4 linked regions of the Elephas maximus indicus genome follow. The protein of the gene in region 1 interacts with the protein of each later gene in a biochemical or structural test. Links are inferred from orthologs where the notes say so. Each region holds a gene or a part of one and is shown on either strand. Other genes may lie near its edges.

The links.
Region 2: the proteins of BIRC2 (region 1) and CDC42 form a complex in vitro, tested with the Homo sapiens proteins (2 studies listed by BioGRID, with this or other methods). The link is inferred for Elephas maximus indicus from reciprocal best matches to the Homo sapiens genes BIRC2 and CDC42.
Region 3: the proteins of BIRC2 (region 1) and E2F1 form a complex in vitro, tested with the Homo sapiens proteins (2 studies listed by BioGRID, with this or other methods). The link is inferred for Elephas maximus indicus from reciprocal best matches to the Homo sapiens genes BIRC2 and E2F1.
Region 4: the proteins of BIRC2 (region 1) and RIPK2 form a complex in vitro, tested with the Homo sapiens proteins (4 studies listed by BioGRID, with this or other methods). The link is inferred for Elephas maximus indicus from reciprocal best matches to the Homo sapiens genes BIRC2 and RIPK2.

Annotation. Positions count from the first base shown.
Region 1 is NC_064825.1:18,245,174-18,252,610, forward strand, and holds the start of BIRC2 (baculoviral IAP repeat-containing protein 2), read right to left. Parts: upstream 3,011-7,437; 5' UTR 2,487-3,010; intron 1,267-2,486; 5' UTR 1-1,266. UniProt on the Homo sapiens protein: Multi-functional protein which regulates not only caspases and apoptosis, but also modulates inflammatory signaling and immunity, mitogenic kinase signaling, and cell proliferation, as well as cell invasion and metastasis.
Region 2 is NC_064821.1:62,283,951-62,291,735, forward strand, and holds the start of CDC42 (cell division control protein 42 homolog), read left to right. Parts: upstream 1-4,777; 5' UTR 4,778-4,884; intron 4,885-5,527; exon of another isoform or gene 5,528-5,861; intron 5,862-5,878; exon of another isoform or gene 5,879-5,979; intron 5,980-7,785. UniProt on the Homo sapiens protein: Plasma membrane-associated small GTPase which cycles between an active GTP-bound and an inactive GDP-bound state. In active state binds to a variety of effector proteins to regulate cellular responses. Involved in epithelial cell polarization processes.
Region 3 is NC_064843.1:35,860,189-35,867,071, reverse strand, and holds the start of E2F1 (transcription factor E2F1), read right to left. Parts: upstream 3,021-6,883; 5' UTR 2,890-3,020; coding exon 2,629-2,889; intron 1-2,628. UniProt on the Homo sapiens protein: Transcription activator that binds DNA cooperatively with DP proteins through the E2 recognition site, 5'-TTTC[CG]CGC-3' found in the promoter region of a number of genes whose products are involved in cell cycle regulation or in DNA replication.
Region 4 is NC_064833.1:52,120,558-52,127,670, forward strand, and holds the start of RIPK2 (receptor-interacting serine/threonine-protein kinase 2), read right to left. Parts: upstream 3,008-7,113; 5' UTR 2,376-3,007; coding exon 2,203-2,375; intron 1-2,202.

The sequences.
Region 1 (7,437 bases):
TTTCTGATGGCTAAAAGCTTTGACATGAAACTTCTCATCTCTTCATACTAAATTATATTTTCACCACAAAAAGGAATCAAATGATAACCTCCTAACTATCTAGAATTCACTACACCTTCTTTACTGGATTTACACCTGGGTACACACTCAGGCATCCTACTTCATGCCTAGGTTACCTGATGGCTACTTCTCCTAGGTTACCAAGATACCACTTAGTACTCTTTGGGACTATATTAAATCTTTTAGGTCACTCAGGTGCTATTTGCTCATAATTTAGTGTAATACTAACCTAACAGTCTGAAAGAAGTTGATACACTTCTGAAAGTTATGTTTAAAAAAAACCTTGATTTTTCAGATAGGTTATATTCCAAACATTGTAAGCTAAGTAACCATAAAAAAAAAAAAAAATAGAATACTTAAATTATGCCCTTAATTTGCTTCTGATTACAAACGACAAATTACAAAATTATATGCATCAGGCGTCTTTTCCTATAAGCACTTTAATACGGCATAAAAAAAAATTGTTTTATTCTAGTAAACTAATTAAAGTCTTCATATAGCCACATTATCTAAAAACTAATTTCATATAGCTTCTCATCATAGTATTAACTTAAGCAGATTGTTAGCTTCAATAACAACTTTTGGGGAAGTCAACATCCACAAGCTGTGTTGAACCTAAGCTTGTTAGGGCGTATATGATTTCAAACGAAATAAATTTTGCTTAAAGGTCACAAACTATTAACTCTTCCACCTTTGTTAAATATTTTCTATACATGTTTCCATTTCAAATAGCATCATTACTGTGTTGTCCTCCTTACTAACTTTGCACACCACTTTGTGCACTTGATCAATCTAATGTATTTTTCCATAGACTTAACTACTTAGCCAGAAAATTTCCACAGGAGAAACATTTTACATCGCATTTAAAAATTAAATAGCCTGGCATTCATTTAAGGGCCATACATGATTATAGCATCCATTTTGTAATTAATGATGAAGTAATTCATCAAAAAATACAGTTTGTCTTTTCTAGTGTTATCACAAATGCCTAACATTACCAACAGAATTACTGCTGATGCATAATGGATCAGTAATCCTACTAGCCTTCTTTCTGTGAACAGTTGGTATTTTAAATATATAATTCATACACAAAATTAAACTCCACAGAATTCAAACTATATCCCTTTATAAAGTTTCTGGGTTTCCATGGTGGGATTTAATACTGCAGGTGAAAAAAAAAAAAGTAGACTCTTCAAGGCTGTAAATCTGAAAAGAAAAAACAAAATTTTAGAAAATTTTATTTTTGTGGCAAAGAGAATCACAGATGCTTCCATTTATCCCACAAAGTCTAAAAAGGATTTACACTTTACACAATACATCTTATTTCCAGCAATGTCACCAAAGCTTTCTGATTACAAAAGCTCTTAATTGAAATAAAAGCAATATACTCCCATTAACATTAATTACACGTTACAAAAGTGTACAAGGGACCTTTCCATATAGGAAAACATTTTGTCTTTGGGTCTCCTCACCTCTTCTGGTGACAACTTTTAATAGTTTAAGGATAATATCTGGCAGTTTGCTTGAGGCAAAAGGGGGTAGTGGTAAGAAAAGAAGACCTCACTATTCCTCATGAGCAACAGTACAGCGGTAATTATGACACAAACGTTATTTTTTTAACGTCAAGCCGCTCCAGGACTAGGCAAAGTGCCTAGTAATAATACAATAAACCCTTCAACTTAAACGCTACAATTCCCTCACAATTCCAAAGCAACCACCACACAACGCAACTCGAAAACAAAACAAAACAAGGGCCTGAGAAACACAGGCCTTGGGAACGTGACCGCTTGCACGCATGCTTTAACAACACGAGGTCTCATATATCTAGATTTTTATCTACAAGCTAATTTTGCTCTTTTTATGCAAACCGTAGCTGTGGGCGGTTGCGGAGGGTGGGATAGGGACTGGAAGGGAAAAGTTGAAACTATGAGATTTGCCCATTCAGTTCCCGGAGTTAATTTTCACAATACACAACAAGCCACTGAGAGCGGCAGGGCGCCGTTGGAACTACGTGAAATATGAGATCTCGCCGCCACAGGGTCGCCTCCCTTCAAATATATCAAATTAAAGGTACATCGAGGGCCAAGTTTAAAATCTTGCAAAAACTCTAAGAGGAAAAATTTTGGTCAAAGTCCAAAGGCCGGGAAAGTGGGCGGCGGCTAGAGTATGCATGAAAACAAGCCAATTTTCAAAAATCACTTTCGACTTCCAAGTCTTGAAAGCGGAGTTTCCGAATTAAATGAAAGCCGCGGCGAGGGCGCGCAGCAGAAAGCTCGCTGCGGCCCTGGACGCTCGGTCGAGGGGCCCCAGCCGCTGTCCTCCCTCGTCCGACCGCAGCGTTCGGGAACTGGGCCGCCGCAGCTCCAGCGCCCCAACCCGCCTCGCGCGCTCTCGCGCGGCCCCGGCCGGGAAGTAGCCGCACTCACCGCAGTGCGGGCGCAGCAAAGACGGAAGTAGCGCGGCAGCAGACCGGCTCCGAGCGGCCTCCTCACGCCCGCCGAGCGGCCGCCGCGACAGGGGCTGAAGCCGAGTGGGGTACCGGTCCTGGTTCCGAAGACCCTGCCGAAGCAGAGCCGACGCCGACGCACGGTGACGTCAGCGCGCTTGGCCGGGGGCCCGCGTCAACCGGCGCCCGAGGGCGGAGAGGAGGAGCGCGGGTTCGCTACCACGGGACGTGTGTTCGGGAGGGACGCGGGGAGGCCGGGTGTGGGCGCCCACCTGGCGCTGCGCTGTCAGCTCACGGGTGAGGCGGCACCGTCCACTTCAGCTCGGTGTTTCGCTTTTTAATCTGGACGTTTGCGCTCTTTTAACGCTTCGCCGTCTTTTCGTCCCTGACATTTTACTGAGCGGGACGTGGCAAACCTAGAGCCGTTGCGTTTGAATCTTGGGAAACCCTGCGGAAACGCCCTTGTGTTAGTGGTTTTGCGCTTCGTCCCCCATGTCACCTCTGAGCTCTGATCCCGCCCCTGGCAAAATTCCACTAGTGTGACGCCTTCTGCCGGCCTAGATGACGGCATTTGGGGATGGACTCAATCCAGTGGCATTTTTGCTTCTGTTAAGTAAACACTTGTAACCGCTTTTCTTCAGAGTAAAACTGCGTGGCGCTCTGATCTTTACGGGTTACAACAGTCAGCAGCTAGCCGCCTAAATTGAAAAAATGTGAAACTTTGAAGTATTGGAAAGTAGTACAGCATCAGAAGATTAATTGTGATTAATCAGCCAGTGTATCTTCTTTTTAAATTTTGACTGTTTTTAAGCTTTTGGGTTCTTTTGTTCTGGAGACAGATGGACTAACGAAAAAGTGTTCCTATTTCAGAGGCTCATTGTGAGCAGTGTGAACCGTTATTTCAGGCCAGTCTTCACTTGCAATAGTTTCTGGAATTTTAAATAAAATAGAGTGTGTGTGTGTGTGTGTGTTTAGTCCCTGGGTGGCATAAACTGCGCTTGATTACTAACATAAAGGTTAGCTTCTGGAACCCACCCAGCAGTGCAGCAGAAGAGAGGCCTGGTGATCAGCTTCTATAAAGATTACAGCCAAGAAAACCATATGGAGCGGCTCTACTCTGGAACACATCTAGTTGCCCTGAGTTGGAATCTATGCCACTCTGCAACAGGATATGTGTATTATATCTTATATAAAACCAAACCAGTTGCCATTCCAACTCAGGGCAACCCCATGTGTGCAGAGTAGAACTGCACTCCATAGGGTTTTCAAGGAGCCCTGGTGCCACAGAGGTTAAGCGCTGGGCTGCTAACAGAAAGGTCAGCGGTTTGAACCCACTCAGTGGGAGAAAGATGGGGCCGTCTGCTTCCGTGAAGATTACAGCTTTGGAAACTCTATAGGGCAGTTCTGTTCTGTCCTATAGTGTTGCTATGAGTCAGAATCCACTCTACCACAATGGGGTAGTTTTGGTTAGTAATTTGTGCTACCCATGGTACGTCTGTCTGTGTTTCTGTCTGTATATACATATTATATATGTATATTTGTATGTGTATATATATATGTTTGTATAAATATATATATGGGGATGAGGGGAGTCCCTGGGTGTTGCAAACAGTTAAGGACTCAACTCTTAGCTGAAAAGCTGGCGATTTGAACATACCCAGAGTCGCCTTGGAAGACAGGCCTGGCAATCTGCTTCTGAAAGGTCACAGCCATGAAAACCATATAGAGCAGTTCTACTCTACACACATGGGATCGTCATGAGTTGCAGTCAACTCAACAGCAACTAACAACATATATATATTTAACAAATGATATATACTTATGAGAACCACAGAGGAGTCCATTTATCCAAATTTCAGTAGTTAAGTGATAGAAATAAAATTGTAAATTAAAAAATCTTGGTTTTCACAAATACCAGAAGATAAGCTAGGTAACTGGGATCTTCTAAAAATTAACATTTATACTCATCAAAAGACCTCACCAAGTAGCATCTAGGGTCTTAAAAGCTTGTGAGTGGCCATCTAAGACACACCACAGGACCCACCCTGTCTGGAGCAAGGGAGAATGACGGAAATCAAAGACATAAGGGAAAGATTAGTCCAAAAGACTAATGGATCACAACTACCACAGCTTCGACCAGCCTGAATCTAACACAACTAGATGGTGCCCGGCTACCACCACTAACTGCTCTGACAGGGATCACAATAGGGAATCCTGGACAAAGCTGGAGAAAAATGTAGAACAAAATTCTAACTTGAAAAAAAAAGACCAGACTTACTGGTCTGGCAAAGACTGGAGAAAGTCCAAGAGTATGACCCCCGGACACCCTTTTAACTCAGTACTGAAGTCACTCCTGGGGTTCATCCGTCAGTCAAAGACTAGACAGGCCCATAAAACAATACAGGTAGCTCAGCCGTGTACCTGAGACTAAATGGACACACTAGCCCAGGTGCAAGGCCTAGAAGACAGGAAGGGATAGGAAAGCTGGGTGAATGGAAATGGGGAACCCGAGGTCGAGAAGGGGAGAGCGTTGACACGTCGCAGGGTTGGCAACCAACATCACAAAACAATATGTGTATTAATTGTTCAACGAGAAACTAATTTGCTGTGTAAACCTTCATCTAAAGCATAAAAAAAAAAAAAATTTTTTTTCTAAAAAATTCTTGGTTTTGCTAGGCAGGGACCTTTTGTCTCACCCCTCTCTAGTGGTACCTCAAACACAGTGGCACAAAGTAAATGTTTGTTGTATTGCAGCGAAACCAATTTTTATGTATTCTGAAGATACTCTTTGTCAATGAAATTAGATGCTTTCTTCTCTCAGGGGAACTCCAGGGGGCAAATATTTCAAAAACTTCCAAATAACAAGCCACTTGATTTAGGCAGCCAGGGGAATTCCAGGACCCTGAACCATTTCCCATTTCCTGTCCATGTCATTTCTGCCTGCCAGTCAGTCTCAGAACAGGAGGTCTTCTGTTCCAATGTTAATAGTAAAAAAAAGTATTCTTAACGATTTGTGATACAGAGAAAAATGCCATTGCTCCCAATGACTCAAAACTTCCAAAAATACACATGCGTTTTGGTATTAATTTTGTATTTAGTTGAAATTTCTATTTCTCAATTACAGAAACATTCCTAATACATGTGGGAATATATGTAATCTAGAAAGTATATGTAGCAAGAATTATTCATCCTGAATGCAAGTTTATTTCTGTTTCAGTTCTTGTCCTGACCAAAAAAGTAACGTGATGATATCCTTCAATGTATTGGAAAACTTGAATCTCAGAAACTCAAATGCCTTAAATATTTTTCCCCAAATAAGTATAAAATGTCATGCAGGTATAATAAAAAATAGATAGTACTTTATAACTTCTAATCTTGTATAGCTTGTAGTCTAGTGTTACATGTGTTTACCCATTTATTCAGTTAATTTTTTTTCATATTTCCAGTTTATAGTTGCTGGCAATTTGGAAAAAAAAAAATAAGTTGTATATTGAAGAGGTTGCCATTTTAACATATTTCACATTTATGTAGAAAAATTAAAATATTTACACAATCCAAGATAATTTTGAAGAAGAAAAATAAGATTCAAGGGATTTGTGCTCCCAGATACCAAGAGTTACAAAGTAAAGCCGTAGTAATTCAGACATTAGCACAAAACCCATTGCTTTCGCGAGTCAATTCCAACTCATAGCAACCCTGTAGGACAGAGGAGAGCTGCCCCATAAGGTTTCCAAGGAGCAGCTGGTGGATTCAAACTGCCAACCTTTTGGTTAATACCTGAGCTCTTAACCACTGTGCCACCAGGGCTCCATATTAGCACAAGGATGGACAGATAGACAAAGGAGCAAGATTGAGAGCCCAGAAAAAAAATATATGTATATATATATATGGGAATTTGATATATGAATTACATAGTAGTAAGAAAAATGGAGCAGTTCTCCTCTGTCCTATAGGGTCGCTATGAGTCCGAATCGACTTGACGGCAGTGGGTTTGGTTTTAAGAGAAGGGTTAACTAGTTACATAATGCTGAATTAATGGTTATTCTAATTGCAAATAAAATCATATCATGACCTTATACTATTAAGAAAAGTTTGCTGGATAGAAACCCAAAAGCGAACAGCTATTATAGTAAATACAGGGATTTAAACATATCTGGTGAGTTGTTATCCATCGCAGATATTATCCTTATTGATGCTCAGATTGTTTTATCTCAGGCCGGTGGGAGCTTATTCAGGTTGGTTCCTGAGTCCTTTTGACACAGCCCTTAGTAGTCTTTGATTGCTTTTTAGGCTCATATTGAACATTTCTTACCCCATATCTGTAATTAGTGGCATAGTGGTTAAGTGCTATGGCTGCTAACCAAAGGGTCGGCAGTTTGAATCTGCCAGGCGCTCTTTGGAAACTGTACGGGGCAGTTCTACTCTGTCCCATAGGATCACCATGAGTCAGAATCAGCTCGAAGGTACTGGGTTTGGTTTTTGGGGGTTTTATCTATTATTAGCCATTTGTCCAAGGTGGCTTGGTTCTTTTAGTGAGAAACGGTATTTAAAGACCATCATCTGAGTGTTTGTGAATGTTGTATTGTTTCTAAATGTTTTTCTGTGGACTAAACAAACTGTCTTAGTTATCTATGGCTGCTGTTAACGGAAATACCATGAGTACATGGCTACAACAAAGGGAAATGTATTCTCTCACAATCTAGTAGGCTAGAAGTCCAAATTCAGGGCGTCAGCTCCAGGAGAAGACATTCTCTCTCTGTTGGCTCTGGAGGAAGGTCCTTATCATCAATTTTCCCCTGAACTAGATGCTTCTTAGCACAGGGACCCCTGGTGCAAAGGACATGCTCTTTCCCTGGCACTACTTTCTTGGTGGTATGAGGTCCCCACGTCTCTCTGCTCACTTCCTTCTTTCATATCTCAAGACATTGGCT
Region 2 (7,785 bases), on another chromosome or scaffold:
TCCAGCCAGTGTTTAAGTGCTCACTTTGTTCAAGGTACCTGAAGAGTAGTGAGCCTGCCCCTGGGAGCAGGGCAGATAAAGCATGGGTAAACATGATCCGGCTGAGGGCAGTGGTGGTGAAGGGCAGAATTCTCACTTTCCATGCAAGAGATTAGGGTTCAATTCCTGGTCAATGTACTTCATGTGCAGCCACTACCTGTCTGTCAGTGGAAACCTGCAGGCTGCTGTGATGCTGAACAGGTTTCAGCAGAGCTTCCAGACTAAAACAGACTAGGAAGAAAGGTCTGGCCATCTACTTCCAAAAATCAGCCCATGAAAACCCTATGGGTCACAACGGTCTGATCTGCAACGGATTATGGGAATGGTGCAAGGCTGGGCAGCGTTTCATTCCGTTGTGCATGGGGTCACCCTGAGTCAAGTGGCCAACTCGATGGCGGCCAGCAATAACAACAAACTTGATCCAATAGGGTGAGGACCTAAAGAAGGCTCAGGTAAGTGCAATGGGAGTTTAGAATAGGCAGAGATCATTTTTGGCAGCAGGAAGCAGAGCCGGCTTTGTGGAAGAGGTGGCATTACATTCATTCATATATTAGACATTTTTGAGGCCTGGCAGTGTGTCAAGATATTAAGTAAAGGGATGCAAAAATGAATTAGATAAGATCCTTGCCTATTCATGGCCTAGTGGTTTAGTTAGCACAAACACAAATATCTGTGATGCAACTGCTAACTGAAAGGCTGGAGGTTCAAGTCCACCCAGAGGTGCCTGAAAACAAAGTCCCGGTGATCTACTTTAGAAGACTCAGCTATTGAAAACCCTAAGGAGCACAGTTCTATGCCGATACACATGGGGTCACCATGAGTAGGAATCAACTCAATGGCAACTGGTATACTTTAGATATTACTGGAATGACTGGCTGTCTGGGGTTGTCAGGGAAGGCTTTAGAGCCAAGGTCTACCCTAGTCCTTGAAAGAGAGAAGTCTGGCAGACAGAGAATGGAACCACCGAATATACAGAGGCATAGAGGTGAAAGGACACAGCCCATTTAAGATAAGAGCAAGATCAGTGTTGGCGGAAGGTTCAGTTCATAGTGGGAAGGCAAGTGGGAGTTGAGAGATAGGATGTATGAGTGGGAGAGGTGTGCTAGGCTAGGGGAACAGTGTGAGCATGGTCACAGAGGTGAGAAATCACGGTACCTATATGCATAATCCTAAAGTAATTCAGTCTAGCTGCAGCTTTAAGTGTGTGATGGAAAGGAAAGGGGAATAAGGTTGGAAAGATAAGTTGGTGCCAGATCATGGGGGACCCAGAATGCCTGGCTAAAGGACTTTGAATTTTATTTTGAAGACCAAGGAGGAAGACACTGACGGTTTTTGAGCAGGGAGTGACTTAATCAGAGCTGAGATCAAGATTAAAACAGAAAATCATAAAGCAAGCCTCTAGAAATTGGATATTAATTTTGTGGGCATGGGGTTATACACCTTTTCTCTGATGCAGCAAAGGTTGGGAAATCCTGAATATAGAAGGGTACAGAGGCCAAGAGCAGATATAGGGACCACAGAACCTGGAGCAGGTGGGAGCTGAAGGATGATTTCACTGTTGCTAGTGGAACTCAGGGAGCCCTGGTGGTGCTGTGGTTAAAGAGCTTGGCTGCTAACCAAAAGGTCAGCAGTTTGAATCCACCAGTTGCTCCTTGGAAACCCTATGGGGCAGCTCTACCCTTTCCTATAGGGTAGCTGTGAGTTGGAATCAACTCAATGGCAATGGGTTTTGAGTTGGTAGGACTTCTAGGTAGCTGGAAATTTGGAAATAGGGGTGGGAATAGGGGTTGGAGGAGGTAGAGACTTGGGAGTCTTCTACATAGAGGGTGGTGGCAAGTACCACACATGGGCAGACATAGGGGCCAGAGGTGGCAAAGCGAGTCATCAGGGGTCTTGTAGTTGCAAGCGACAGAAACCTACTCACCCTGGCTTAACCAATAGAGAGAATTTATTGGCTCATGTGATTGAAAACTGGAGCAAGGCTGAGTCTAGGGACTCAAACAATGCCACTGGGACTTGGTTTCACTGTCTCCATCCATCAGCTCTGTTTTTCCCTTTTTGTCTTGGTCTTATGCTCAGACAGTCTCTCTCCTTGCAGTGGGATGGCTGCCAGCCGTGCCACGATTACATCCTGCCCTCAGCAGATATATTCATTCAACATGAAGGTTCTGATCAAAGTCCCAGAATTGAATCTTATTTGTTCTCATTAGGTCACAAGTCCATTGCTGAAGTGCTGTGGCAAGAGGACTCTCTATAAATTCTTTGATTTGCCAAACCTGGGTCACATGTCCATCCCTGCAACTGGAGGTAGAGCCACCTCCTCTGGAGTTACAGGAATCGAGAATTGGGTAAGAGACTTCTCAGGAGAAGTGAAGTGTTGTTACCAGAAGTAGGAGAAATTGACAGTGGGCTGGCAAACGGAGAGTGGGGGAGGGAGGGCTGGATATCCACGGGCTGCCTCTCCTGTTAATATGAAGCAGCTGTAGCCAGTGGGGCAGTGAGGAGGAGACACTAGCAGGCTGGGCCAGCAGCAAGGGATGGGGTAGACTGGGGTCAAGTTGTGATGCCACTGACATTTGGGGCTGTGAAAAGGTCTGGGAGGGCCTTCCTGATAAAAATCTGACAACATAATAGACAAAGTCCTTGTCCTCTGAATGAAGGCAAGAGAAGTTGAGCAGTTGGGTGACACCCCATCAAGATATTGCTGCTATGGAAAGGGCAGGCATTGTCTGGGGACATTCATGAGATTGTGAGACGGGATGAAGGAAATGTCATTGCAAACTGGCTTTGCAGAGGGAGAAAACACAACCACTTTTCAAGTTTCAGAAACTAAGCTTACGCATTTTTACAGTAGTCAAAAATTTACAAGTTTTCAAAAAAAATAAAATAGCCAAAAGCAGCCTAAGTCTTGAACAATAGGAGATTGGATAAATTCTATAATACCCATATAGTAGAACACCAAAAAAAAAAACCAAAAAACAAAAACCCAAACTCACTGCCGTTGAGTCGATTCCAAATCACAGGACCCTACAGGACAGAATAGAATTGCTCCATAGGGTTTCCAAGGAGCGGCTGGTAGATTTGAACTGTCGACCTCTTGGTTAGCAAAAATGTTGCTTTATTTGACATGGAAAGATGTTCATAATGTTTTGAGAGAGAAAAGCGGGTCACGATCTTATTTTGGTAAAAATAAATGTATATATAAACCAAACCAAACCAATAGCTCTTGAGTTGATTCCAACTCATTGCGACCGTATAGGACTGAGTAGAACTGCCCCATAGGGTTTCCAAGGATGTAATCTTTATAGGAGCAGGCTGCCACATCTTTCTCCAGCAGAGTGGCTGGTGGTTTCTAACCACTGACCTTTTGGTTAGCAGCTGAGTGCTTAACCATTGTTCCACCAGGGTTCCTTAAACATACATATACATAGAAAAAAGTCTGGAAAGGTACTCACCAAAATGTTAATAGCTGGTATCCATGAGGGTAGGATTAGACCTGAAGTTTATCTTCTGATTTCTGTATAATAAACCTACTGGGTTGTAAGATAGTGTAGTGGTCAAACTAGAGCCAGGCTCCTGGGTCCAAGAGCCTAGGTCCAAGCCCCTCCTCTGCCACTGCCTGGCTGGGTGACCTTTGGCAAGTTTCTTAACATCGCTGAGTTTCAGTTCACTCATCCATAAAATGGCGACAATAGTGCTTACTTCACAGGGTGATTCTTAGAAATTGTTTACTCCTACATGCAAAGTTGTTAGCACCACGCTTATAGTATACACTGAAAAATGTGGTTATTTTTTGTGGAATTAAAAAGTCCAAGAGAAAATATGATGATTAAATGAAATATATTGGAATTTTATCTTTGTTGGCGAAATAGCTGTGGCAGTAAGCAACATATTAACTATTACTAGGATAAACTATTTTTCTCTGAACATTGGGAAACATGTGAGAATAAGACAGAGAAGGTTCCTATTCTCCCGGAGCCTGAAAGCTAGCGGCGGCAACATAATAAACAGGTGCTCTGAGGGTTTTTTTTTTTTTTTTGAGGGTAGGAGAAACCCTGGTGGCGTAGTGGTTAAGTGCTACTGCTGCTAATCAAAGGATCAGCAGTTCGATTCCACCAGGCTGCTCTTTGGAAACTCTATGGGGCAGTTCTACTCTGTCCTATAGGGTCGCTATGAGTTGGAATCGACTCGACAGCGCTGGGTTTGGTTTTGGTTTTGGTGAGGGTAGGATGATAGGGAAGACCGGGACGTTAGAGGGCTGAGAAAGTCAACCAACAAGTGCAAAGCCCTACGGTGGGGAGGAAGTCTCTGAAACAAAAGAAGACCTTTGTGGCTGAAGCGAGGGACAGTGGGGTGCACGCAGCTCTCACACCACAGCGGACTGAATACAGACCTGGGGAGCCAGGAGGCCACCCACTTGCTGTGTGATCTCGGGTAAATCACTGCCAGTCTCTGAGAAGCCTCTGTCCTCTCTGCAAAATAGGAACGATAATACTTTGCTTCCCAGGGTAGCAAGGATCAAAAGAAATGTCATTGGTGTGTTCTGCAAACTATTCTTTCTAGTTTTTGAACAGCAAGCACTGGGGAAAGAGGTGCCGAGTTGAATACTAAACACGTGAGCCATTCCGGTCTTGCGCGTGCGCGTTGGTCCAGCGCAGCGGAGGCGGAGGAGGAATTTAGGCTCCGCCTCGAGCCGTCCCAGCCTCTTCCTCCCCTCTCCATCCCTCCCACTTCCGCGGGCACCCAGCCGTGCGTCTCCTGCGTGGTGACGTCAGGTGCGTGCCCCTGTCCGGCAGTCGAGGAGACCCCGCGCAGTGCTGCCAACGCCCCGGCGGAGAAGCTGAGGTGAGTGCGGGGCCTCAGGCTCCCCGAGGGAGCGACTCCCCCATCGTCTTGTCCCTACCGCGTCGCCCCCAGTCTTTCCCCATTCTCGGGGACCCGTGGTCTCCGGGATTCTGGGACGGCTGGGAGCGCGGAACGCGGGAGGGTGCCCGGCTCGCGCTGCGCCCTCCGGGCGAGCGCGGGTCCGCGTTCTGTAGGGGCACTAAGGGGCGGGAGTCGCGGCGGGGAAGGCAGGGTGCGCGCCCGCTGCGAGGCGCGGGGCCGGTGCTCCGGGTGTCGGCCCGAGGGCACGGGCGGGGCCGGGCTGTCACCGGGCAGCGGCGGAAGGAAGGGGTCACACCCATCCCGGCCGCCCGGGTCCCCCTCCCCCTCCGGCCGGGCCCCGTGGGCACCCAAGGGCGGGCGGCCGGGCTGGGGCGCCTGGGGCCCCGCTTCACGGAGCCGCGCGCGGGCGCTGGAGGCGGAGGACGTGTCGGTGGCCGGGGCTCGAAGGCTGGGTGCTGCCCACTGCGCTCGGCTTCGACTTCCTGCTTCGCCGGGCGCCGCCGCGGACATTTTGCGGCGGGCGGGGGGAGGGGAGCGGCCTCGCGACCGCGGCGGGGAAGTGGCGGGCGGGGAGGGGGCAGTTTGCGGAGTGGCCCGGCCGGGCCTGCGACGCCCTTCCCGCCGCGGCCGCCCAGCTCGCCGGCTTCTCGGGGCAGGGTGGGTCCGGTCGCCCTCTGGCCGGGGTCCTTTTTCCTGCCCTAGGTAGAGTTGCCCACAGCGTTGCCGTTTGCTCCTCCAGCACCTAACGCTCTCCTGGCTCATTCAGCTGCGGCTTCCCCTTCAGGGAGTTACCTAACCCCTCCCGAAACTGTCGCTCGGCCGTCGGCTTAATTCCTCTTACTAAGGGGAAATTTTCTTTGTTCGTTTGTTTTTTTCCTCCCCTTTAAATCCTAGAGAAATGCAGTGTGGAAGATTACGTCATCGCAGTCTAAGGGGTGAGAGTTTTAACTCCTCCAAGTCAGGGACTCAGCAGAGTAAGACAGCGTTTTTGCAGTTTCAGTGGGTCACCCAGAGACTTCCCTTGCTCCGCTCCCCAGCGCGTCATATTCGGAGGTGGTTTTTTTTTTTTTTTTGATATCCTGTTACTCTTGTTCTTGGCCACCTCAGTTGCATCTAAAGGAAGGTTTAAATGTCAAAATTAGGTTGTGACAGAAAATAAAGCGTAAGACAACACTTTCTGTAGCCATTTGCATAGAATATAACTTTAAAATTCCCCTCTGACTGTACTTGAACGAAGCCACCTTATTTGTGGGTGCATTTTTTTGGCCCCCAAATGACTTTCCGGGAGTGATTGACTTGTCCCATATACTTGTTTGATGCACGGTACCTACCTAGATTGCCTCAGTTGCTCTCTTTGTGGCAAGGGTGTGGTAGTGAGAGGATCAGTTTTGCTTCCTAGGCACTTTAGTTTTTTAATTCAAAACAGTTTTGAGCTTTTACCAAAAAAAGTAAATGAGTGATATTTTTAGGCTTTTGGGATCACTGTTTTTGTTCCCAAGAATGTGAGGTACAGTCTAAATTTTCCATCCTTGTACAGAGTACGGTAGCACAGAAAAATGTTAGCATTGTAAAGCAGATGAATTTCAGTTGTGTGAATGCATTGTTACAAAGGGTAGTTCATGTTGGTACAAGTACTTTTCTATTGTTTCTCATTTGTGTAGAGAGAACAGATTGTTTGTTAAGAAACACAAACTTTAAGAAGTGGTAGATTTAAATGCGCTTTCTCCAGTGTGGGTGTTGAAGATAGGTATGGCACATGAATCTTCTGAAATAGTTTTCTTTGCGTTAAAGTGGTATCTTGCTTTAGAAGTATAAAAATGAAACACTGGTCTGCTGCCTTATTTCTCGAGTCCTCTATTTTTAAGAAGTCTCTGTGTATCAGTTCACATCTTTCTTCTTAAAAATATAGCAGAATAGTTTAAATGAACAATTTTCAGACTGAGACAACAAAATAATTGAGGATTGAAAATAAGCTCTTCCAGTAATGTCTTTAAACATCCTCTGTCTACTCTTAAAATGGTTTCATGTAGTAGCCAACACTTGTGCTCAGTGAAACTTTTTTCTTTGGAATTTAAAGGTAAATACACAGCTTTGAGTAGTCGGGGCTTAAACATCAGTGAGATTCTTAAAGAATACCAAGACCAAATCTTGAAGTCTTTTTGTAACTTCAAGGTTTGTTCCTCTTTTTTAGGATGCTTTTCCATTTGCACTTTTGTGGACTATTTGGAAGAGCATTTCTTGTTAAACGGTTATGCTAATAAAATGTTTTGATTCAAGAGCTGTCAAATTTGGAAAACTACAATTGCTGTGCCTGTCTGATGAGTAATATTGATAGTCATTCTTGAAAGTAAAAGTCAAGTTGTACTTATGGATAGATTTCTAAATGCATTTGTTTATTGTTTTAGTGTCTTTTTTGAGAGCAATGAAGAGCCCCTAATGAGAACTGTAGGCTACAGGGCTTTTCGGGGAGCAGGGAGTAATAGTGTGTTAACTTATTTCCCATATATGAATCTGTATATCCTCCTATTTGTAAAGGGCTCCATTCTAGGCTTTTATTATAATTCCTTATTCAGTTTTCTTTTCTAAATGTGTTTGTTGTCAGTCTCTCCCACTAGCATGTAAGCTCTATGAGGGCAGAGCTTTGGCCTGGTATGGTCACTCCTATATCCTAGCATCTAGAATAGTGCCAGGCACAAAGTAAGTCTCAAGAAATATTTGTCAGGTGGATGAATTTGATGCTGTCTAAGGGTTGACATTTTTCCTCTATGCGTATTCCATAAGCCCTTGTACTTTGTTTCCCAAGGCATCTTTTTGTGCTTGATCAGCTGTATCCATATTTGGGCTCATTGAAGTGAAATT
Region 3 (6,883 bases), on another chromosome or scaffold:
CAGATGGACCCAGAATCCTCTCAGACATGGGCAAGCACAAACATCGTCATAGCATCATATATTTATATAATCCTTTGTGAATTAAAAAACTACCAAACTGTTTTCCTCTGGTTCAGTTTCGACTATTATACACCACTGCATCGCCACTTCTGCATGGGTGACTGAGGGATGTTGGCCTTATCTGTACAGTGTGAATGATATGACGCTTGAGCGAGGAAACAAAGGGAAAAAAGTGAAATTTTAAAGTTTTAGGAAACAAAAGCTCTCATAACTACATAAAAAGCAAGAACAGGCTTAAGGAGAAAAAAAAAAATTACTTTTAGTGAATAGGAGTGGGATCCTGCCCCCTTCAACTTTCTATTCTCCTATGTTTTCTACAATAAGCATATATTTGTAATGGAAAAAAAAAAAAAAGGCACAACAGGGTGGGGGTGGATAAGAAGGGCCGGGGGAATGGCTGAATTGTGCAGAGCCTTGTATGCAGTTGGTACTCAATAAATGCTCACTGGCGCAAAAGCTGAGCCTGTAGCTTGATTCAGGGACTGCCCCAAACAAATGTGCAAAGGGTAGGTGGGAACCTGTGCCCAGGGCTACCCACAGGTGTAAGAGTTGGGGATGTTGGAGGGCAACAGCTGGGCCTGTTTGCAGATTTGGCTCCGGGATGGTGCCAGCCCCGCCCCAGCACAAAAATGCCCACTGGGCCATAAGCACTGTGGGGCAGGGACTCTTTACCTGCTTCTGTGCCTAGCATCTCACGGATGCTCACTAACTCACCAGCTGTTGAATGAATGGAATGCTCAGGGCCCCTGAGGCTGCCCCTGATGGTTGTGGCAGGGTGCTTGTGCCTATGTGTGTATGTGTGTGTCATTTTTCCTCCTCCCAGTCCCTAACAGTTCCTCTGGGCCTGGAGCCCTCAGCCTCTGCTGTCTCTGTACCCCTGCACCTGCTAAGTGCTCGTCAGTCAGCTAAATGGAGACCACTTGCCCAAGCCTCAAGCTGGTACTCTGACAGACACGTCATTTCATTGGAGGGTAGGAGGCAAGCAAGGCTGATCCACCCCAGCCCACACGCACCCCTCCCACTCATTCACAGGCCCATAGGTCCCTATTACTTCCCCAGGCTTCATTCAACCTCTATTAGCATTTCCAAGGCATCCCAGCTTGAACTGCTGGGCTCATCATCCCACCACTCACTAGCTGATCCTGTCTGGGGAAGGCTGTCACATCTCTGTGCCTCAATTTCCCCATCTGTAAAAGGGGAAGGTTGTTGAGAGGGTTAAATGGATTAATTTGGGTAAAGGGCTTGGCACAGAGCCCTGCACACAAAACATTCTCAAAACAATGGTGGCTGCTATTGTTATTATTATTAGCATCTTGGTGATTCCGGAAGGAAGGCAGCACTGGGCATGGGGCCAAGGGGGCTGGGGGAGGCTTTTCCCGGGATGCCTCAGGGACCAGCTGCCACCCACGCCCCTAATGGCAGTTGGGCAGCTTCCACCTCCTTGTCCCAGACCCTGTCTCACCCCTCCTGCTTGCTCTGAGCCCCTCGCCAGACCCCAGCCTTCCTGGCCAGCCCCCGTCTGCCTGCACCCCACCTTCACCCACAGGCTGCGCCAGTCAAACTGGTCTACACGCCCTGCCCTGCAGCACATAGGTTCAAGCTCCAGGCCTCCACTCCCTTCTCCCACTGTAATTCAGACACCCTCTCTGGGCCCCCAGTCTGAACTGATCCTTCCACCTCTTGTTGCTCAGAGAGGCCTTTATCAGATTATCTCCCTGAGAGGTTTTCTCTCCCCTGGCACTGGGGGTCTCCCCCCAGCTCCCAGAGGCCCAGCCCACTCAGTTCTTCCACAGGGGCCTGCCTGATTAATGAGGTTCTATGGCAACCAGGGCCTGAGAGGGTGGAGGGTGGCAGATGGAAGGACAGGCAGAGGGAGGGGATCAGCAGCTGGCCTAGGCGTCTTGCCCCACCCCTGCAGAGAAGGCCTCCCAGCCAGGCGGCCTGTCCCCAGGGGCCTGGAGGGCCAGGCCTGCACCTGGCAGTGGAGCATGGAGGCAGGAAGGATGGTGTCCTCAATGGCGTCCCAACAGTCCAGCCCCAAGGACCACCTCCACCTCCATCCCCACCCCTACATAGCCACAGATTCTGGTCTGGAGCCAGCAGGCCTCGGTTCAAACTCCAGCCCCACCTATGACCAGAGGCAAGTCCCTTCCCCTCTCTGGGCCTCAGTTCCTTCTCCGTCAGATGGACACAGTGACAACACCGAGCTCACACCGTGGTTGTGAGTTTTGGCTGGCTTGAAGTCGGTCAAGGGCTCAGCCAAAGCGCTAGTTGAAACCACGTGGGCCATTATTATCACTGATTCTGACCCGGTGGCTGACCCGAGCGGCTATGGTGAGGAAGCGGAGGCCCAGAGCCTAAAGCAGCATACAAGGACTGGCCCGAGGTCACCCAGCAGCCCGGGGCGGGGCCCGGAGGCCCAACCCAGGCTCTGCACCGCCCAGCGCGGGCGCCTCAGTCCACCCCTCCCCCGGCCCCCGCTGCCTCCTGGCCAAACACTGCGCCCCGCCCGGGTCTGCGCGGGGGGTACAGGCAGGGCGCTTGGCCGGGTGTCCCTGGGGTCCGTACCGGCGGGCGGCCGAGCGAGGGGCGCGGGGCGCTGGGTGTGGGCCGGGGCGCCTGTGGCGTGGCGAAGAGCAGCAGGTCGGCATCGCGGGGGCCGGCGGCGGGAGCGGAGGGGCCGGCGGGGGCCGGCGGGGCGCTGGCGTCCTGCGCCGTGGAGATGATGACGATCTGCGAGGAGTCAAGCAGCCGCAGCGCGCCCGCCCCGAGCAGGGCCTCCAGCGCCGGCGCGCATGGGCCGCCCGCGGGGGCCCCGGCCACGGCCATGGCGTTCACGGCCCGCGCGGCCCGGGTGGCAGGCGGCGGCGGCGGCGCGGACCCATGGCGGCGGGCCGCGGCGAGGGCTCGATCCCGCTCCGGATCCCGCTCCGCCCCCGGCCGCCGCTGCCTGCAAAGTCCCGGCCACTTTTACGCGCCAAATCCTTTTTGCCGCGAAAGAGCCACGAGCCGCAGAACATCGCCACCATTGGCTACCTGGGCTGTGACGGAGGCGGTGACGGTGGCACCCATTGGCTGCTGTGCGCCGGACCGGCGGTGGGGGGCGGGACGAGGAGGCGGTGCGGTGCGGAACAGCCAATCGCAGTACGGGGCGCGCGCAGGCTTTGTCGGGGCGGTGCCAGGCTTGTTCACACTCCCCGCCCCCAGGCCAGACAGCCCCTGGTCGAGGCGTGGTGGCCCCGCCCCCACCCCGTCCCGACACACCCCATCCTGGTGACCCCACCATAATGAAGACATTTAGGGCAGAGTCTCCATTCTAAAGCCGTCACGTGCTGAACCACATCGTCCGCCTGCAGCCCCCACATGACCTCCAGACCCTCAGCCCAGATTTCCAGAAACTGTCTTCTGTTTTCTGAATCCTCAGGCCTACCTTCTAAGCCCCAGCTACATCTCCTCAACTTGCCCCACCTATGCCATTTACTCTCAAATCCTGCCCCTCCCCTGTCCCTTACCCAGCCAGACGCCCAGCAGAAGGGGGCTGCCAGGAAATGGGAAGGGATGTCTGGCCTAATATAGGTCTGGGGCTTTCCTGGGGCTTCTCCGGTGGCCTCGTCTTAGCTGGACAGCCCTGCAGTAGCCAACTCACAGCTTTTGCTTGGACTCAAAAAACCCAGTGCCGTCGGGTCGATTCCGACCCATAACGACAGGCTCAAACATTCATTTATTCAACAGATGTTTTGAGAGCCTGCTCTGTGTCCATCTTTAGTTCAGACTTTGACTCCGGGAGGAGGGGAACAGAGAGATAACAAGAGTTTACAATACAATATGGAGTTTCCAATACTAAAGTAATTCCACCGGTGTTACCTGCCATTGAATTGGGAAACTGCAGGGTCCTGTGCCAGCCCCATGTTCTATTGGGGATCAGACTGTTGTAATCCATAGGTTTTCATTGGCTGATTTTTGGAAGTAGATTCCTAGGCCTTTCTTCCTAGTCAGCCTTAGTCTGGAAGCTCTGCTGAAAACTGTTCAGTGTCATAGCAATACTCAAGCCTCCACTGACAGGAGGGTGGCTGCACACAAAGTGCATTGGCTGGGAATCCCATGTGGAAGGCAAAACTCCAACTTCTTAGACCTCAGCAAAGGATGGAAGTGGGAGTACTGAACATGAAACTGCGTTTAATCCTGAGACCCTGACCCATCTCCACCAACGGTTTCTCCTTGCTCAGATCAGCAGGTTTGACCAAGACCACCCTCTCCTCTGTGCCAGGTCTTGTGACAGTACTGAGGATAGAGATGTGAAAAACTTGATAATTGCTATGAACTTGCCTGCAGTCTGATGGGGGTCACCCACAAGAGAAAAAGTAGCTAGGAGCCCTGATGGTGCAGTGCTTAAGAGTTTGGCTGCTAACCAAAAGGTCAGCAGTTCGAATCCACCAGGAGCTCCTTGGAAACCCTGTGGGGCAGTTCTACTCTGTCCTGTAGGGTTGCTGTGACTTGGAATTGACTTGACAGCCAGGGTTCTCTTTTTGTTTGTTTTTAGGACACAAACAAGATCCCTCCACTTAGTCTAAAGTATCACTTCCTCCAGGGGGCCCTCCAGAGTTGAAGTTACTCACTTCCTGTATTGCCCTAGGCTGCCTCTGTTCCAGCACTGACCACACCACTCAGCTTCTCCATCTGCCTTCCCTACCACCCTGGGAGCTTCAACAGTGCCCCCTCCCCATAATGGCCTGGCCTAGAGCAGCTGCTGAGCTGAGGAGGGTTATGAAAGAAACAGGCTGATGTTGGAGACTGCCAGAATGCAACAAGTAGGTCCTGGTATTCCAAGAGTGGTCATTAGGCTTCAGAACCAGCTGGGGCTCTTGTTAGCTTTGGGCCCTACTGCAACCCAGCCATTTTAGAATCTCTAGGTGCCCATGAATCTATATTTTTAAACAAGCATCCACTCCCATGCCTTTCCAGGTAATTTTTATGCATGATGACATTGGAGAACAAATTGATGTAACTGTATAACTAAAATGTGTGAGGCGGCCTCAGATTATCCCCCTTTGAGAAATCTTCTGGGCCTCAGTGTCCTCGTCTGTAAAATGAGCACATAGACTTTGCCCCAGCTCTTCTGGGGTTGCTAAGAGAATGAAAAGCACAAAGGATCTGAAAGTGTTTTATAGATTGTGAGGTGCTTTGGGAAAACAGCAGAAGTGTCTTCCCTTCTCTCATGAACAATTTGTGAAATTACTTATCAAAAATCCTAGAATGTGTCAGAGCTGGAAGAGCCCACAGAGGTGGGACAACTGAGGCTTATTCAGGCGCAGGGTCCCATGAAGCCAGCCAGGGATAGAATCTGGCCTACACTGGAGTCCCAGCCCTGGGGTCTGCCTGTTCCCCCTTTCTCCCCGGACAGAGAAGCTGAGGGTTAGGTCTCTTCTAAATAACCATCGCAGGTCCTGACAGGAGTTGAGAGAGCCAGGAACATTCCCGTTCCACATAGTTTCCTTTCCCCACATTTTCCCAAATGATCCCGGTTACAGTAATAATATCTGACTTTTGTAAAGTCCTCTCATACTCAATATTCATTCAACAAACAAACTGACTGAGCACCTGTCAAGTGCCAAGCACCTTGCTGGCTGATGGAAAGGGAAGGCATTGCTGGTTTTGCCCCATTTTACTAGGAGAAAACCAAGGTCCAGAGGGAATAGGCTTACCTAGTAGATGAAAACGCCATTTATACAGGCTTGGTGAGGCCAAGGCCACGTTTTTCCCAAAGGCCTGCCCTCCTCCCAAAGGTCCTGCCCCTGTCCAGGTGTTCATCAACCACCCAGGTAGAAGTAGGTGCCTTCCTTCCCACTGCAGTCTCTCTTGTCCTGCTGCAGCAGCCCAGGGCTGGGAACAAAAGGCCAAGCAAAGGCCAGATTTCTCAGTGTGAAATCAAAGAGATAAGGCTTTCTATATTTATTAACACCCGCTTCAAAGCAGAAAAGTCCTGACAGATGGGGCCCCTTGGCTCAGAGTCTGGTGGATCCCGATAAGGCTGTTCCCAATGTCAGCAGTTCTCCTCAGGCTACTAACCTTCCAAGAAATCCATGATTACTGAGAAGACACTTCCATTATGATCTCCTTTCAACTCAATAATCCCATAAGTGAAGCTTGTTTATCCACATTGTGCAGAAGGAAGGTGGCTCAGAGAGGGGCAATCACAGTTCACAGTCACAGCAGAACTGAGATGGGAACCTAGCCTGTTTTACTGGAAAACCCAACATCTGCCCTTCATACTCTGCTACCCTCTGAAAATACTTGGAGAGCCAGGCTCAGGGCTGGCAAGATTATAATGTGTGCCAGTGAAGAGGCATTACGGTGGACAGTGTCTTTGTTAGGTCCCTGGGTGATGTGAACTGTTTGCACTCGACTACTAACCTAAAAGTTGGTGTTTCGAACCCACTCAGTAGTACTATGGGAGAAAGGCCTGGTGATCTGCTTCTATAAAGACCCTGTGGAGCAGTTCTACTCTGTAACACACGGGGTTGCCATGAGTGAGAATCGCCTTGAAGGCAACATGGTTTGGTGGTTTAGTTAGTGGATGCTTACCCCCATCACTGCGTCTACCAATCCTTCAATCTAGAGGAGTCCAAAGGAGTGGATGCTTTGGACTCATAATTCTCCACCTGGAGACAACTTTCCCTTGGTTCTTTCCTACACACAAGAGGCAGGATGGTATGGAGGTGAATGCAAGGGCTTCTAAATCAGGCGGATGTCAGTGGGAATCTTGGTCTGTGTGACCTTTTGACAAGAGAATTCTGAGCCTTGCTCATTCAACCCACAGATACTT
Region 4 (7,113 bases), on another chromosome or scaffold:
CCCTCGAGTGGATTCTGACTTATAGTGACCCCGTGTGACAGAGCAGAACTGTCTCGTAGAGTTTTCTTGGCTGTAATCTTTATGGACGCACATTGCCAGGTCTTTCTTCTGCAAAGCTGCTAGGTGGGTTTGAAACAACCACCTCTCAGTTAGTAGTCAAGCCCTTAACCACCGCACTACCAAGGTTCTTTATGGCTTCTTAGAAGACAATTAATTTTCTACCTAACTTGGTAAAAATTTTTGGACTACGAAAATTGTATGAGCATGGAAAGGGAGCTCTTTCTTAACTCCTTGGCCCCTCAAACAGCACAAAATTTCAGGTAAACTAAAATCTTGAGAAGCAGCATCCGAAACAGAAGAAGGATCAATTTGCTTTAAAATATTTAATGGGTCCATCAGTGCTAGATTTCCATATACCATCTACCTAGTTAGTTCTAGAATATATCCACCCTCTCTGACCAGCCACCACCCTCTAGAGTTGACTACACACACTTGCCCAGCACTTGCCCCACAGAATTCAAGACCTAGTGTAAACAGACACCACACCCTGCACATCACTGGATGTGGACTATAGTATATAAAAAGGTGGGAACAATCTCCAGAAGTGTCTGAAATCTGCTGTGAGATCTAGTCCACCCAACGCTGGTAGTGAGAGACAGCAAAGAAAGCCACAGGCAGGTGGAAGTATGATAACGTTGGCTGGGCTGAAAGTTGAGGAATGTATCCGATACTGGATACTAACAGCCTCTGGCCAGTCAGGCATCGAGCGTGATGTATTCTCACATTAGATAAGATAATGTTGTAATCATGAATGTTAGGTCACTGAGAACTGAATGCAGGCCCTTGTTAAATTCCTTTGGGAAAGATAGAATACCGAACTAGTGACTAGACCACTGACTACTGCATACACACACGTTTACCGTAAGGGTTTACAGTAAGGCTTTTCTCTTCGGAAAGAGAAACTAATGCTAAAACAAAACCACCACCAAATGTCCAAACAAATCCACTGCGATGGAGTTGATTCAGACTCACAGTGGCCCTATGAATTATAATATATATATAACTGCCCCATTGGATTTCCAAGGCTGTAAATCTTCAGGGAAACAGCGTGCCACATCTTTCTCCCACAGAGCTGGTGGTGGGTTCAAATCACTGACCTTTCAGTTATCAGCAAAGTGCTTAACCACTGCATCACCAGGGCTCCTTAAAACCTGAACATCACACTACAATCATGCCAGGATGAACGGCTCTAAACACTTTTTGGCCACTTAACACTCTTTGGATACAGTTTATCGCTCCCACAAAAAAAAATACACACTTTTTTCCTAGAGACAGTCTTCCTCATAATAGTAGGAGGAGAAACTAACTGCAAATTTTGAGGTTGATAAAGTTTCATGAAAACAAGAACCACAAACAAAACAGAAACTACAAGAACCCCAAAACAAGACATCTCAAAACTCTAGAGCAGCGCTGTCCAATTATGCCAGCCCCAAATGTAATTTCAAATTTTCTAAGTCACATTAAAAAAAGTAAAAAACAACAAAAAACTCTAATAAAACAACACACACACAGAAAACCCCAGATGAAATGAATTTTGGTAACATCTTTTATTTAACCAAATATATCCGCATTATTATTTGAAGACGCAATCGATATAAAAATACTGATGAGTTAGTTTAAATTCGTTTCTTTGTACTAAATCTTCGAAATCCGGTGTGTATCTTACACTGACAAAGCACATTTCCGTTCGACTGACCAGTCGCTCAACAGCTGCCTATGGCTAACAACTGCCTACCTATTGGACAGCACAGCCCTAGAGCCCACTTTCAAAAAAACGAGAAAAAAAAAAAAAAGCAAACAAAAACAAACCCACTACATAAAGAACTCAATTTCAATACATCGGGCATTTCGAGATGGGCTGTGATGGCAGGTCTCTGGTATATGGTACCAGCCTAGGAAAGTCAGAGGAGGAACGGCGGGACGCAGAGAGAAGGCAGTGAAGAGGAGATGAGCGGACGATTCCGAGTGTGCACCTCGAGAGGCTGGTTCCTCCCACCCTGCCAGCCCCAAGCTTTGAAGGACTAGCCCAGAAATGACGACGGGGAGGGCCGACCCCAGGCGGTCACTGCCGTTTGAGCTCTACAGTCCGCCTACCCGGGGCGGATATCGTGGGAGGGGGTGCCGCCGAGTTAGGCGCCCTACCTGTCGAGCAGCGGAGTGTGAATGTGCAGATGCTTCACGGCCACCTGAACACGCCAGTCCGAGTGGCGGGCCGACGACACGGTGCCCGAGGCGCCGCGGCTCAGGTAGCGCAGGTCGGCGAGCTTCTGGTAGGGAATGGTGGGCAGGGCGCTGCAGATGGCCTCCCCGTTCATGGTCGCTGGCGGCGCGGGCACTCAGGCCGAAGGCCCGTTCCGGGTGCGCTCTCTGCTCCCGCGGCTCCCCGGCACGCGCGCGCTTGGGTCCGCTCCGGCGCCAGGCGGACGGGAGGTGTTCCTGCTCCCAAATACTAGGTCACAAGGCCGCCCATTCCCAGGCGGCCCACGCCCGCCGCCGTCGGACCCCGCGCTGCCGGCTGCTTTTCCCCGGCCTCAGCACACTTTTCTGGAAAGTGGGGTCAAGTCTTCAGCGCCGCGGCGAGGAGGAGCTTCCTCTCCTAGACTGGGCCCTCCCAGGCGCGCCCCGCCGGCGAACCCCGGCGCCGAGCTCCTCCCTCTCCAAACTTCTCAGGCGACGTCAGCGGGCTAGCAGAGGGGGGCGTCCGCCTGCGTCCTCCGGGGAAGGCGCTCGTCTCAGCCTGCGGCCCCCACTGTCTGTCCGATTCTGGCGGGGCTAGGGCGCGGGGGCGAGGCAGCCAGTGGCACTCCTTTTGTCTTCACCCCTCTCCGAATATGGAAAAGTCTTCCTTTTGGGAAAGTTCCTCAACGCAGCCGGCTGGCGGGTGTGTGATTGGTCAGCGGGAGCCCCCACTCGGGTGGATTCTCTGTCTCGGCCGCGTGCAGTCGGGAGAGTAGCCAAACTCCAGAGGTAGGGGCGTGATCCCGGCTCCCTACTCTGCGCCTGCGCGAGGAGCGCTTCGCGGAGCGCGCCGTGTTCCACGGCAGGCAAACCCGTGGCCGACGAGTAGATTCTGACCCTTAGTGACCCTATAGGACAGGGTAGAGCTGCCCCATAGCAAGGAGCGCCTGGTGGATTCGAACTGCCAGCATTTTGGTTAGCAGCCGTAGCACTTAACCCCTATGCCACTGCGAACCTGGACTCCAGTCTTCCTTCACTTGCAGCCACTTGACGAGTGAGGGAAAGGTGATAAATCTCCTCAGAGCGGAATACCCTCGGCTGTGTTTTGCTCTGGGCACACGCCCGCCTACTAGGAATCTGGTTTTCTTCCTCCTCTTTTCCAATGTCCATAATAATATATCGGGATTGAAAATGAACCTGAGAAAATCCATCTAACTCCAGATAAGAGTGCAAAGATTTCTTTTTTATAGATAAAAGAGGATTGCAAGCAGTGTCTAATGCCAACCGAAAAAGACTGCAAACATCTTTCCATTTTTCCACTTAAAAACAAAGACAAAACCAAAAGTCCCACTTTTCTACTTAAGTGATTATATCGTGAGTGCAAATATTATATACAACTCCAAGTCCATACTAGGAATTTAGTGAATTGTAATGCAGTAAAAAGAAATGCCTGACTTGAATAAAGGACTTCTGCGTACAGAGAACCAGTCCTTCCTGTATTTGTGCACAGCGGGAAATTGTAAAGAAATGTTATGTTTAAAATTTTGATGATTTAAAACAAATTGCTTAGCTTTGAAGATATGATCTGCTGTGCTGTGCTTTATTGTTTGTTGTTGAACTTTTTGCTCCTAAAAGTACTCAGAAAACTTTCTCATTGAGCCATCCATCCATCTCACAAACTAAGAGTTCCAGAAAAAGAGAACAAAAAAATCAGCAGGGAGGGAATGATCACAATAATAATTGAAGAAATTTTGCCAGGACTGAAGGACAAGGGTCTCCATATTGAAATGACTCACCTGGTGTCCACAGTGAACTGAAAAACCTACATTAAAGCACATTCTTAAGAAGATCAAAACATTAAGAATAAAGAGAAGACTCAAAGTTTTTAGAGGAAAGAAACAAGAATAAAGGCATGGGAAGGAGCATGGCTTGGATTTATCAAGAGTAATAATATATTTTTTTAAATAATTATATAGGGTTGCTATGAGTCGGAATCGACTCGATGGCACTGAGTTTTTTTTTTTAAATAATATTGTGAGCTAAAAAAAACAATGGAGTGAAATTTCTTCAAAATTATGAAGGAAATTGGCTTCCAACCTTGAATTTTATAGTCAGCTGAACTATCTAACAAGTATAAGGGTGAAATAAACATTTGCACATATACAGGGGTACAAATATTTGCTTTCCATTAGCCTTGTTTTAGAAAGCTACTAAAGTATGTACCCCAACAAAACATGGGTGTAAGCCAGAAAAGAAAAAAACAAAACATGGGTTCCAGAAAACCAGGATCAGGAGAATGGAGAAGTGAAACCCCAGGGCATGTGTCAGAGTGGGGAGAAACCCATTTTCAATGGGACAGGAGGATGGAAGGCTTCAAGAGGAAAGGCTTTAGAAAAATATTTAAATTTATAGATGATCTAATTTTGAGTATTTGGGAGACTGTATTAATAGGTGTTTGATAGATCTAATGAAATATGTCTGAAAAACTGGACATAGAACTGAAAAAAATAAGGCAATTACTATTCTATGAAAAATAAAAATTATACAAGTAAGGAAACAACACTTCTTTAAACAGTTCTGTGGTGGTGAACAGGTGAAAATTGTAGGGCTAAAGTTGAACATATGTAGCCCCTATGAACCAGCAATTCCTCTCATAGATATGTGGGCCTATGTATGTATATGCTAGAATGTCTATAACAGTGTGACTTATGATAGCCTCAAATTATATATAGCCCATTAACAGAAGAAATGGATAAATTGTGCTTCATTTACACAATAGAACACTAAAGTCAATGAGATTGAACAATCTACAATAATATTGTATGAAAAAAGGCAGACACAGAAGAGAACGTACTGATAAGTCCATTAACATAAAGTGTAAAATAAATTAATCTATGCTGTGAGAAATTAAGACAGTGGTTACTCTTGTGGGGGGATGTAGTGAGTAGAAGGGGACATGATAAGGCTTCTGGGGTGCTAGTAATATTCTGTTTCTTGATGTAGAACCTAGATTTTAGGTGCCAGTTACATGAGTGTGTTCAGTTTATGAAAATTCTTTGAGGTTAGATTTATGTACACTTTGCTCAATGTATATTATACTTCAATAAAAAGTTAAAAGGTTTAAATATAAAATAAATATATATTGTTGTTGTTAGGGGCCATCGAGTTGGTTCCGACTCATAGCAACCCTATGCACAACAGAACGAAACACTGCGGGGTCCTGAGCCATCCTTAAAATCGTTGTTATGCTTCAGCTCATTGTTGCAGCCACTGTGTCAGTCCACCTCACTGAGGGTCTTCCTCTTTTCCGCTGACCCTGAATTCTGCCAAGCATGATGTCCTTCTCCGGGGACTGATCCCTCCTGACGACATGTCCAAAGTTATGTAAGACACAGTTTCGCCATCCTTGCCTCTAAGGAACATTCTGGCTGTACTTCTTCTTTTGGCAGTCCATGGTATATTCAATATTCTTCGCCAACACCACAATTCAAAGGCGTTGGTCAGTTCTTCTTCGGTCGTCCTTATTCATGTCCAGCTTTCACATGCATATGGTGCTATTGAAAATACCATAGCTTGGGTCAGGTGCACCTTAGTCTTCAAGGTGACATCTTTGCTCTTCAACATTTTGAAGAGGTCCTTTGCAGCAGATTAGCCCAACGCACTGTGTCTTTTGATACTTGACTGCTGCTTCCATGGCTGTTGATTGTGGATCCAAGTAAAGTGAAATCCTTGACAAATTCAGTCTTTTCTCCGTTTATCGTGATGTTGCTCATTGGTCCAGTTGTGAAGATTTTTGTTTTCTTTATGTTGAGGCGCAATCCATACTGAAGGCTGTGGTTTTTGATCTTCATTAGTAAGTGCTTCAAATTCTCTTCACTTTCAGCAAGCAAGGCTGTGTCATCTGCATAACGCAGGTTGTTTATGAATCTTCCTCCAATTCTGATGCCCCGTTCTTCATATAGTCCAGCTTCTCAGATTATTTGCTCAGCATACAGATTGAATAGGCATGGTGAAAGAATACACCCTGACGAACACCTTTCCTGACTTTAAACCAATCAGTATCACCTTGTTCTGTCTGAACAAATGCCTCTTGATTTATGTAAAGGTTCCTCATGAGCACGATTAAGTGTTCTGGATTTCCCATTCTTCTCAATGTTAGCCATAGTTTTTTATGATCCACACAGTTCAATGCCTTTGCATAGTCAAAAAAACACAGGTAAACATCCTTCTGGTATTCTCTGCTTTCAGCCAGGATCCATCTGATATCAGCAATGATATCCCTGGTTCCACATCCTCTTCTGAAACCGGCCTGAATTTCTGGCAGTTCCCTGTCGATACACTGCTGCAGCTGTTTTTAATGATCTTCAGCAAGCTTTTGCTTGCATGTGATATTAATGATATTGTTCTATAATTTCCACATTCGGTTGGATCACCTTTCTTGGGAATAGGCATAAATATGGATCTCTTCCAGTCAGTTGGCCAGGAAACTGTCTTCCATATTTCTTGGCATAGGTGAGTGAGCACCTCCAGTGCTGCATCTGTTTGTTGAAACATCTCAATTGATATTCCATCAATTCCTGGAGCCTTGTTTTTCGCCAACGCCTTCAGAGCAGCTTGGACTCCTTCCTTCAGTACCATCGGTTCCTGATCATATGCCACCTCTTGAAATGGTTGAATATCGACTAATTCTTTTTGGTATAATGACTCCGTGTATTCCTTCCATCTTCTTTTGATGCTTCCTGCATCGTTTAATATTTTCCCCATGGAATCCTTCACTATAGCAACTGGAGGCTTGAATTTTTTCTTCAGTCCTTTCAGCTTGAGAAATGCCAACCGTGTTCTTCCCTTTTGGTTTTCCACCTCCAGCTCTTTGCA